Linked DNA regions of Diceros bicornis minor. The protein of the gene in region 3 binds, or shares a complex with, the protein of the main gene of each other region. Links are inferred from orthologs where the notes say so. Each region holds a gene or a part of one and is shown on either strand. Other genes may lie near its edges.

Region 1 (3,733 bases), on a different chromosome or scaffold from region 3:
TGAGAGGAGAAGTATGTTGTGAGAGAGCTGATGGTCCAAATATTTATGCTCTATATTAGCCTGTCTGTGGAGGAAGAAGCAGGAAATTCCGGTGTGTTTCCCTGGAAATTTAAAAAATTGGCAGCTAGGAAGACTGGGAATATCAAGTTAAATCTCACAAGTTGGTCTGTGGAGGTGCAACCAGCTGGAACTCCTTCTGAAAGTGACAGGTTAAGCTCAAAGTTCTCAAGTTGCTGGATGCAAGATGGGAAAGCAGTATAGCCTGCTTAGTGAGAAAGCAAAGATGTAGTGCATGTTGGGGAGAAAGAAATCTGCTTCTCCGATTAACTATAATAGTTGTTAACGACTGGTTATTTTCTAAATTTTAATAACTTCATTTTCTTCTTCCTCCTTCTGTTGTAAGTAAAATACTACTGTGAAAGAAGCAAATGAATGTAAATGTTGTAAAACCAACTGACATTAATCTCACTGAAATTTTGATCTTTGAAAGAACCCAACCTTACATGGCAGGTTACTTTGTTGTTCTGGAGGACAATACATGTGACGGAAGGAGCGTCAGTGGATAGCCACCGCTACCAAAATCCCTCAGCTGTAGGTGGGAGTAATTGACGTAGCTGCCCTCACGCCCGCCTTTGCTTTAAAATGAGTGAAAGGAGTGGGTGAGAGGGATGACAGGAGCCTAGAACAGAAAGGGTCGAAAAGCAAAAACGAAATTATGTGAAGGATAGGAGGCGTCTGCTCCACCGCCCCAGCACAGATATCAAACCGTTCGAAAAACATAATCTGAAAAGTGTTTTTCCACGTGAAAAATCAGCAGTGAAGTCGATTCTCCCACGTTCCTCGGAATAATGGTTAGCCTAGGATTCCACGGGCACTTGTCATTTTGGTTTCTCTTCTAACCCCCCGCCCTTCTGGAAAAGTGTTACTTTCTACAGACTACATTAGTCAGGAAAACGAACTTCCTTTGACTTGAGGAACTGTTAAAATGCTTTGACGTGCTGAAAAATGAAAATAGCTGTAACGCTAACATGCACTATTGCCCGCTAAGCCTAATATGCAAAACGCCCGGCTTGACCGCCTGTATTCAATCCGGGTTCTTCGGCTACGCCCAGGGCGGAAGGGGCGGAGACTCCACTCCGCGTCATACACCAACGCCGGAAGTTGGCTGAGACGGAGCGACGAGCCGGAATCTGTGTGGAACCGTAGGGTGAGAACGTTCTCCTTGCTAGGTGGGTAGGGAATTGGCGGGTTGGGATTTTGGGCCAAAACTGGCAAGATACTCGGGTTAAACAGGTCTGGTGTGGATTTAGAGTTGGGAGAGGCTGGGGATAGAGTCAATGCTTTAGTCCTTTGCCTGGTTTCTTTCAGTTGAGCTGTTTGGCTATTGGGGGTTGTTTCATTATCCTTCCCTTATCTTCGGTTCGCTTGTTCCCCTGTTGAGGGGTATTATTTTTGTGGCCATCTCCTGCTAAAGTCGATCTGAATCTTTCTGCCTCTTAATAGCTGAATAATCCTGTGCAAATTAACTTTTCTAAGCCTCGGTTTCTTCATCTGTAAAAGGAGAGTAATACCTCCTAGGAGTGTTGTAAAGATTGTAGTGAAATGACGTATAAATGAAATAACACGTATAATGTATTTACTTTTGTGTCCAGTTTGGGGGTAATTGCGCAATATGTTGTTTTTTTGTTTCGTGCTTTACACCTCATAGGGTTTGAAAAAGTACAGATTAGGAATTGGGACGTTTTTAGCTTTCAGAGAAAAATGAGGGCTGGTTGGATTTGTGAAGAGCCCCTTTGAGATATTCAGTATTTAAGTCTGTGATTTCAGGGACTAACAATGGACACCCAGAAGGACGTTCAACCCCCAAAGCAGCAGCCAATGATATATATCTGTGGAGGTAAGAGTAGCACTTACATAAAGTAAGGGTATTTTATTTCAGTTTTTTGAAATTTCTACTTTTATCTTTGGCTTAAATGCGTCGCTCAAGTTTAAAGTTATAAAGCAGAATACTTTAGCAACCGTAAAAAAATCCTCTCATTAAGATTTCTGTCCTGAAAAAGTGCATTGCACCACATCTTTTTTTCTTTCCCCATTAATATATTGGTGATAGCAACATTCCCTTGAGATGGAGTATATTTTGGTGTTCTGGGTGAAAAATATGGTTAAGATAATTTGTTTGTCTGTAATATTTCCCTTTAGACATTGAATAAATGTGTTTTCTTTTCTAGAATGTCACACAGAAAATGAAATAAAATCCAGAGATCCAATCAGATGCAGAGAATGTGGATACAGAATAATGTATAAGAAAAGGACTAAAAGATGTATCCTTTTAACTATGCTTTCTAAATATGAGATGGGAGGAAGTGAAGAGTAATGCTTGGGTTGCGAGTCAAAGACTAATTTCTGGTAAAATGGTAATAACTTTTGGATTACTTACCAAAAAAGGCATGATTAGCATTTTCATGGACCAGTATGCCAATGTATAGGCATATACTAAATAATCTAAATACTAGTTGATTTTGGTTCTCTTAAGTCTGTTTTTCAGGGATTCTCTATTTCACAAAGTACTCATTCTTGAGCTTGAGTTTATGAACAAACTAAATTATACAAGGAGAAATCACAATATTGTGTATGTATGCTACCTGATGGAAAAAGTGAAGCTTACAAATTAGCTGAAAGAGAGTAAATTGTTATGTGGTAACTAACAATGTTTTTTAAATCAATAAGTTATCACCTTTAACATTGCTTCAGTGTTTTTTGGTGCTTTGGTCTTTTGCACTTTGGAAAGGGGACTAATAAAAATAGAAATAGTTTTTTTAGTTCATTTCCACTTGTCATAGTAAATAGTGAATTCCATTTTTTTGTGCATTTTAGATTAAATAACAAACAAGCTTATTGCAAAGAGAAAGTGACTTGGAAGTGTTAGATCAATTTTTAAATACTTTTTTTGTCCTTAACTCAGTTTAATACAGTGGTGGTTTTTGATGCTCGATGAGACATGGAATTCAGAAGAATATCTTCATTTGTATTTGGATTTGCTGTTAATGTTGTTGTATAGCTTTTGATTAGTATACTTTTCTTTATGAAGACAACTGTATACACATGATTTCATTTTAAAACCATATTGTATTTAGTATCTATTAATAGTTTATATAAATAAATTACTTCTGTTCGATTACATGATTTACAATTTAATTTTATTGTGTATGTAATCTGACGCACAATGGAGGTTAAAAGTGCTTCCCCAAATTGCACTTTCAATCAAAACTTAGAATCATCTGGGGCCCTTGTTAAAAATGAAGTTTTCTACGGCCCTCTAAAGGTGTGATTAAGTTCGTTCCTTGGAAACCACTGTTTAACATCACCAACTGTTTGTTAACCTTCTTGCATCATTTTGTTTTAGAGTGTATCAATGCACTTACTGTCAGTGTGCATACCTCATTTTGAGTTATATTTTTCATTTGTTACTTGGCATAGACCTTTCTGTATTTGTATATAATGCTTGACTATCTTTTTTTTTTTTTTTTGAGGAAGATTGACCCTGAGCTAACATCTGAGACCAATCTTCCTCTTTTTTTCTCCCCAAAGCCCAAGTACATAGTTGTATCCTAGTTGTAGGTCCTTCTGGTTTTTCTGTGTGGGACGCCGCCTCAGCATGGCTTGATGAGTGGTGAGTAGGTCCGTGCCCAGGATCCAAACTGGCAAACCCTGGGCTGCCGAAGTGGAACGTGAA
Region 2 (3,748 bases), on a different chromosome or scaffold from region 3:
TTTATGAGTATGCTCACATCCTCATGTACACCAAGGCCAACACTGAGGTTGTCAATCCTTAATTTCTTTTTTTATTTTTTTGCTAATAGGATATTTTATTGTTTCTTTAATTTACTTTTCCTTAATTACTAGTGAAGTTGAGAGTTCTTTCGTTTGGTTTTAAATCATTTGCATTTCTTCTGTTTATTGCCTGTAATCTCTTTTGTCAATCTTTCTATTGTTTTGTTTCTTTTTCTTATTGCTTTGTAAGAGCTCTTTCTCTTTAGTCTATTTTATCAAATATTTCTTCCTACACTGTAATTTGTCTTTTAACCTTCCTTAACGTTTGCCATAAAGAAACTCTGTCACTTTTGTATCATTCTTTGAGGATTTTAAACACTGATCGCTAAAGAAACGGAACAAAACAAACACCCGTGAGCTACGAGACATAACAAAGTCTTACACAGTTCTTAACGTTTCGGTCCCTGGGCCCTTGCGAACGTACTTCAAATCCTAGCTGCGGCACTTTCTGCCTGATCGTCGGCAAATGTCTTAATCTCACCGAGTTTCGGTCTTCTAGTCTGCAAAGTGGGAATAAAACAACTCGCTTTACAGAAACTTGGGGGAACGTGTAGCTCCGGCCTTGGGTGAAGACATTTCCCTGCAGTAGTTTCATAAACCAGATCAGACCAAACGATTGGTTTCTTTTAAATATTGAATTTATTAGGATTTTCTAACTAAACCGGGGGGGTGGGGAGCATGGTGGACGTGGCAATTAAGATTTATTGACTACGTGCCCAGTAAGGCGCATTGATCATGTTACCTCCTAACTCGCGAAAACGCTCTGGAGAGCGCATTATTCTGATCTTACTGGGAGCAACTGAGCTCAAGGAAGCCAGTTTCGTCCATCTCTAAATGTAAGCGCCTCACCACCCAGTCGTGTCCGCGCCTCCGCCAGGAAGCCCTCGGGGCACTTCTACTCTTGCCGTCCCCCCTCCTACACTAGTTGGTTAGGAAAGCCGTTAGGATGCGTGGGTGGAGAGCAACACAGAACGAAGGAGCCCCGCCTCCGATGTTCCGGGCTCTCTCAATTAAAGCCCAGCCTCCCTCCTCGCTGCTTCCCCGCCGTGCCTTTTGGGAGTTGTAGTCAGACGCACTTCAGCCTCCTCCAGGATGGGCAAGAACAAGACTCCAATTCCCAGTATGCCCCGCGGCAGGCGAGTGCAGCGCCTATCTTTATCCTCCTTTCTTTCCCACGTCTTCCCTTCCTTCCCTTCTCTTCTGAGTCCTCTACTCTGGACTCCTGTCTGTAAAGTCCTTCGTCCCTCTCCCCATCTTTTTCTCTCATTTTTTTCACTGTCTTTCCCCCTATTCCCGAGAGCCAATGCAAGACATCGGCCCCGATTAAACGACGGCTTGAGACTCACGGTGCACGAGGGGGGATCGACACGGAGCAGTAAGGGGGCCGGGAGAGGGGGGGAGGCGGAGGTAGAAGAGAGAGTTGAGTGAGGGGCGAGGAGTGGGAGGTAAGTAGGAGAGAAGTTAGGAGATCGGGTTTGGATCAGGGTGAACGGGGTGAAGTAGTCCTGGCGGGGAGGAGGAAACAGGTGGAATTAGCTTTGGGAGACATGGAGGGGAAAGTTTGTTTATTGCCGCGCCCAGGTTGGTCAGGTTTGGGAGAAACCAGAGGAGATGAGCGACAAGCACAAGGAAACTATAGGAAAGATGGGTTATTTTGGGGAGCAGTGGATCTGGAAACACAATGAGGAAGGTGAGGGGTGACACTGGCATGGATTGTGGGGACTTGTTTCTAACATTTGCATCTCTCAGGTGATGGAGAGCACCCCCTCAAGGGGTGGACTGAACCGAGTACACCTACAATGCAGGAATCTGCAGGAATTCCTAGGGGGCCTGAGCCCTGGGGTGTTGGATCGATTGTATGGGCACCCTGCCACCTGTCTGGCTGTCTTCAGGTGAGGACGCCTTTCATGGCAGGGACCATGGTGAGGAAATGTAATGGGGCCTGCAGACTGGAATAAGTTACCATGGGCAGAAGCTTAGCCCCGGGGCGGGGAGGTGTTGGAGATTAAAGTGTGTCAGGCCCAGACAGAGTTTGTGGGGGCAGCAAGACTGGTGCAAGTGTGTGTGTGTGTGTGTGGGGGGGGAGATGAGATGTTTGCGAGGCTGTTGAGGGCAGAGATGCAGATCTAAGGCAGTTTCTGATATTAACATTTTATCTACCACCTCACAGGGAGCTCCCATCTTTGGCTAAGAACTGGGTGATGCGGATGCTCTTTCTGGAGCAGCCTTTGCCGCAAGCTGCTGTAGCCCTGTGGGTGAAGAAGGAATTCAGCAAGTGAGTCTCTACTGCATTCTCAGCCAGATACAAATTTCTTAACAGCTAGATTTCCCAAACTGCTGTTCCTTGGAACACTTCCAGGGAATATTAATGGGTACACTGCAAAACTTGTCATTAAATAAGTTTGGGAAACTCTGTATACTGTATTTTCCCTCTTGGAGAGTTGTGATATCTATAACAAGGCTCTGGTAGGTGTTGTGGTAAAGAAATTTGCCTTAAGAAGACACTGATTTCACTCTGTGAAAGTGTTCCAAGGATTACCAGTTCAGAAAAGGCAGAAACTGGGGCCTATATGGCCCTCCTTCTTTTTGCTCTCCAGACACCCTTTTCACTTCTCTGTTTCTGTTACAGAGCTCAGGAGGAAAGTACAGGGCTGCTGAGCAGCCTCCGTATCTGGCACACGCAGCTGCTCCCTGGTGGTCTCCAGGGCCTCATCCTCAATCCCATCTTCCGCCAGAACCTCCGCATTGCCCTCCTGGGTGGGTATGTCACTTCCATCTCTTCCTAAGCTAAACCAGGGGCACTAGTAATTAAACTGCTAATTAAACTGCAGTTTAATTAAACTGCAGGTGGGGGGCTCCACCTTGGGGAGCTCCTTTAGGAATGAGGTGGACCAGATGTAGCTGCATGGTGTCTCCCACTCATGGCCCGTGAGGGTAGAAAGAGGGCAGAGGGATGAGCGGGGAACACAGGCAGGCTTCCTTACTCTTGGCACATCCTGGCACAGGGGCAAGGCCTGGTCTGATGACACAAGTCAGCTGGGACCAGACAAGCATGCCCGGGATGTCCCCTCACTTGACAAGTACGCAGAAGAGCGATGGGAGGTGAGGCCTTGGGACTCTGTGTGTGTCTGCTTTGCTCCTACATCCCACGGCCCTTAGAAGCATTGGTCTCTCTGCTCTCTTCCATTCCTCAGGTGGTCCTGCACTTCATGGTGGGCTCCCCCAGTGCAGCCGTCAGCCAGGACCTGGCTCAGCTCCTCAGCCAGGCTGGGCTCATGAAGAGGTGAGGAGGCCAGAGGTACCACAGCTCCATGCTTTGCCATCTCCTTGGGTCCCTGCTAAACTGAGCGTCCGGGGCGGGTCAGGATTGGAGGGAGTTGACTGAAAAAGGAGAGCTGAGTGGAGCATGGCCAGAGATAAACCAAGAAAGAACGTGAGAGGACAAGTCGGGGTGGTGGCCTTTCTCTGCATACCTCTATCATTGTCCCTCTCTACATCTCTAGTACTGAACCTGGAGAGCCGCCCTGCATTACTTCTGCTGGCTTCCAGTTCCTGTTGCTGGACACCCCTGCCCAGCTCTGGTACTTTATGTTGCAGTATCTGCAGACAGCCCAGGTGAGGATGCCGGGGGCTACTTGCCCATATGCTCTGCTCTTCTCAGGACCCACTGAGAGACCACTGCTACAGA
Region 3 (3,748 bases):
GTTCTGAAATAACTGAGGAAGATTCTGATGTGTTCATGATACTGACCCTCTTAATCTCAAATTTGTGTGCCGGATGTGCAATAAGCCAATCACTGAGACATCGTGCTTGGAGATGGAAAAAGATTTATTCAAAGTGGCCAAAATGAGAAGGTGGGAGGATAGGTTCTCTCAAATCCACCAAAGCCCCAATAGATAGTTGTATGTTACACTTGCACATCCTGCTAGTTGCTGTATGTGGGACACGGCCTCAGCATGGCCAAACAAGTGGTGTGTTCTGCGTCGCCGGGATCTGAAGCCAGGCCACCAGTAGCAGATGTGCACACTTAACCGCTAAGCCACCGGGCCAGCGCTCAAATCCACTTTAACAAGAGAAGAAAGCAGGGGGTTTTATAGAGCTAAGGGGCTTGGCAGGGGGAGTTTTGGAGAAACAAAGGGTAATCCCTGTTTCTTTCACACCTAATAAAGCCCCTGGGCAATCTGACTCCTGAGCGTCCACAGGAGCTGGGGGCTGGTTATCTGTTGATCCTTGAAAGCATTCTTTTTCTTCTGCAAAACAAGCTCATAAATCCTTGTGACCCCTGAATAACCCCTCAGGTAAAACAAGAAAACAGCAAATTGACAAGATTAAGTTCTTTTCATCTATGTCTGTGTTGGGAACAAGGTCAAAAGGTAATCTTATTGAACATTTACAGTAACCCTCAGGTACCCGGCTTCCTTCAGAGTGTTCTGATGGGTTCCGCGTTGTTGGATGTGTGCAGCATTGAGTGGCAGGGATCAAATTGAGAGGGCCTGGGTAGAGAGAATTGAATTTTATTCTAGAACTAAGAAGAGAGAGAGGAAACTATTTAAGCAGCGGAGTCTGACAGTCAGCTTTGTCTCTTATATGTCCATTGTCACTGCCCTAATAATATGGACTCCTGGTTTTGGAGTCTGAAAGGGGGTGTGGTCTGCTTGCTTAATCAGAGGTGTTCAGAGTAGCCTCTCAGTTGAGACATTGCTTTTTTTTCAGGTCTAGAAAGAGCTTGTTTTCCATATACCCAGGGCTATTCAGTCTAATCCCAGCCCTCACTTCTGCTAATTCACTTCCTCTATTTATTACTCTGACATTGTCCTCCTAATGCTGTTTCCTCTCCTTGGCCAGAGTTGGACTTATACTGACAGCCTTTGTCTCTTTGAATCCCATTTTTCTGTTTTGATACTTTTTTTCTTCAGTTAAGTCGACCTAGTCTTTAAACGTATTGGTGACGTTTTGGCCCATGCCACCCTATGTTTTAATCACTGAGACACAGCCTGCGCTAGTAGCCACGCCTACTGGAGAAGTTGCCAAACCAGGAAGTTTGTCCGCACTAGCGCGCCGTACTGACAGTGGCAGTGCGCAGGCGCAGTTCCCGGCTCCCAGCGGCGTGTTCCTTGTTCCCCAGGTTCCCAGCGTCCTGGCAGGTGGACGCCGAGTCTTCCAAGTCTGCCTCCGGCCGCGGCTTGTCTTGTGCTCCAGTCCCTAACTCCGCAGCCCCTCAGCTCCCTGGGCAGCTGCTGTGGCCCGGACGCCTCCACCGGCGACAGACCCATGGCCGAGCGCGGGGAACTCGACCTGACCGGCGCCAAACAGAACACCGGAGTGTGGCTGGTCAAGGTAATGTTCGCGCGGGTTCCGCTTGCACTCCTCCTAGTATAAATAGTTTAAGTGACTTGAGACCGTCCCATTCCGTGCGCCTTTTAAAGCTCTTTACTGCCATCTCGTTAGAGCTTCACATAACTTGAGAGGCAGAACTTACTGTTATGTTCGTTAGAAGACGAGAAAATTAGTTTAGGACACATAGTGTCTTTACTCAGTTAAGAGTCCGGACTTGCCTGGAATGGATCTCTTTTCCCCACGACCTGATTTTGCTGGGCCCCTGTCTTGGTGTCCCCCGACTTGAGCGGTGCATTTTACCCCACACTGAAGAATTTCTGCATCTTGTCTTGGTGAAACTGATTTTAGTCGTGAGTCTGTAGGAGGAAGTTGAGGGTCTGCTTTCTGTACAGTTTTCTCGGTCAGAAAGTAGAACTGGTTCCTGCGTACCCTTAAAGTGTTTCCTTTGGTTGATGGCCCTTAATGGAGTTCTCAGGAGAGCGAGATAGCTCTGAACTCGCGGAAGGAGAGGCCATTGGACTGGAGTGTTCTTTTAGGGCACGACTGGGTCTCGTGACACTGGCCGTCAATAAAAGTTTTTTTGTAAAAACAGCAATCTTGATTAGTCCTTAGCACAGTATTTGTGCTTTACTTTTTCATATTGGGGAGTGTTATCTCTTAGGGGAGTTTCATAAGACATATGTATGTTCAAAATGTGATTATGACAGTCTTTGAACCTCAAGCAGAATGTAGGGACCTTTGGTTTGTTAATTTTTTTAAAAACTTTTACCACACGGCTGAGTTTTCATCAATTAAATCTGAGAGGCCTTTCCTATCCACCTCTATAAATAGCTCCCTTATAATCATTCACTAGCATGTCAAACCTGTATTATATTCTTCAAAGCGCTTATCATACAGTGATTCTATGTTCATGTGTTCGGTGTTGGTTACTTCCTTCTCCCCAGCGCTTGCGCGTGCGCACACACGCACCCACCCACCCACAGTCACCTTCCATGAGAATAGGATCCTTGCCTGTCACACCCAGAATTGTGTCTGGCACATGGTAATTGCTCAACAGATATGTGATGAATGAATGAATACTCTCTTATTCTTCATCCCTAACCTTAGTCTCGGGCACTCATTTGACTTATCCCAGCTATATGAATATGACTTAAAAGGATGGAGTAAATGAGCCTTTCTCTCTCCTACTGCATGCTAAATGGAGGAGAATCGTTAAGGAGATCTCCCTTGCAGACTGAAAGAGCGAGCTTGAAAAAATGGTGGAATTTGAGACGATGCATTTGTGCTTGGAGCATTGTAGATGCTCAATAAACGTTTGCCTTACAGGTTTTGGATGGGTAGACAGAGGCATAGCATAGTGTACCATAGAGAGTGGAACAGAAATGCAAGACTGAAAATGCACATTAACATGGTATGTCCTGGAAAACAGATTATTATGCTTAGAGCAGAGGGTCTGTGTGAAAAAGGTTGGGACCATATACTCATTGTCATATCGTGAAATGAGGATGTCTTAACCTTAGTCTGCAGGAAGTAAGGAACCTTTTGGAGGATTTTGAGTAAGGCAGGGGTGCAAATGATTTTTTCAGGGAAAAAAAAAAAAACTTGAGGGGAAGATAACCAGAGTCAAAATTAGAAAATTATCACAGGATCATGGGTGTATGGTAATGAAGTCTGAGGAGGGAAACTTTTTCAGTGAAAGTTGTCAGGATTTGTTGACTAAATGAGAATGTGAAAGAATGTAATGAATCTAAAATGAAGAAGTTAAAAAATTTTAGGGCTCTCATATATGGCCATTTGAATACATTTTCTCTCTTTAAAAAGAACTCAAGGGGCCGGCCCCGTGGCTTAGCGGTTAAGTGCGAGCACTCCGCTGCTGGTGGCCCGGGTTCGGATCCCTGGTGCGCACCGAGGCACCGCTTCTCCGGCCATGCTGAGGCCGTGTCCCACATACAGCAACTAGAAGGATGTGCAGCTATGACATACAACTATCTACTGGGGCTTTGGGGAGAAAATAAATAAATAAAATCTTTAAAAAGAACTCAAGTGAAGCCAATGATTTGTTCTCGTTTTCTAAAGGTAGTTGTAATGTTTTGATTATTTATTGTTTGCATTGTC

The links. Proteins that work in one complex are often made in the same cells at the same time.
Region 1: GTF2F2 (region 3) and POLR2K share a complex: the UniProt entries of both Homo sapiens proteins name them as parts of the TBP-based Pol II pre-initiation complex. The link is inferred for Diceros bicornis minor from reciprocal best matches to the Homo sapiens genes GTF2F2 and POLR2K.
Region 2: GTF2F2 (region 3) and GTF2H4 share a complex: the UniProt entries of both Homo sapiens proteins name them as parts of the TBP-based Pol II pre-initiation complex. The link is inferred for Diceros bicornis minor from reciprocal best matches to the Homo sapiens genes GTF2F2 and GTF2H4.

Annotation. Positions count from the first base shown.
Region 1 is NC_080760.1:18,723,722-18,727,454, forward strand, and holds POLR2K (DNA-directed RNA polymerases I, II, and III subunit RPABC4), read left to right. Parts: upstream 1-1,154; 5' UTR 1,155-1,229; intron 1,230-1,827; 5' UTR 1,828-1,836; coding exon 1,837-1,897; intron 1,898-2,228; coding exon 2,229-2,321; intron 2,322-2,972; coding exon 2,973-2,995; 3' UTR 2,996-3,183; downstream 3,184-3,733. UniProt on the Homo sapiens protein: DNA-dependent RNA polymerase catalyzes the transcription of DNA into RNA using the four ribonucleoside triphosphates as substrates.
Region 2 is NC_080753.1:34,269,002-34,272,749, reverse strand, and holds the start of GTF2H4 (general transcription factor IIH subunit 4), read left to right. Parts: upstream 1-1,207; 5' UTR 1,208-1,407; exon of another isoform or gene 1,408-1,435; intron 1,436-1,809; 5' UTR 1,810-1,812; coding exon 1,813-1,952; intron 1,953-2,230; coding exon 2,231-2,335; intron 2,336-2,689; coding exon 2,690-2,821; intron 2,822-3,065; coding exon 3,066-3,162; intron 3,163-3,254; coding exon 3,255-3,343; intron 3,344-3,563; coding exon 3,564-3,675; intron 3,676-3,748. UniProt on the Homo sapiens protein: Component of the general transcription and DNA repair factor IIH (TFIIH) core complex, which is involved in general and transcription-coupled nucleotide excision repair (NER) of damaged DNA and, when complexed to CAK, in RNA transcription by RNA polymerase II.
Region 3 is NC_080748.1:31,595,272-31,599,019, reverse strand, and holds the start of GTF2F2 (general transcription factor IIF subunit 2), read left to right. Parts: upstream 1-1,351; 5' UTR 1,352-1,567; coding exon 1,568-1,633; intron 1,634-3,748. UniProt on the Homo sapiens protein: TFIIF is a general transcription initiation factor that binds to RNA polymerase II and helps to recruit it to the initiation complex in collaboration with TFIIB.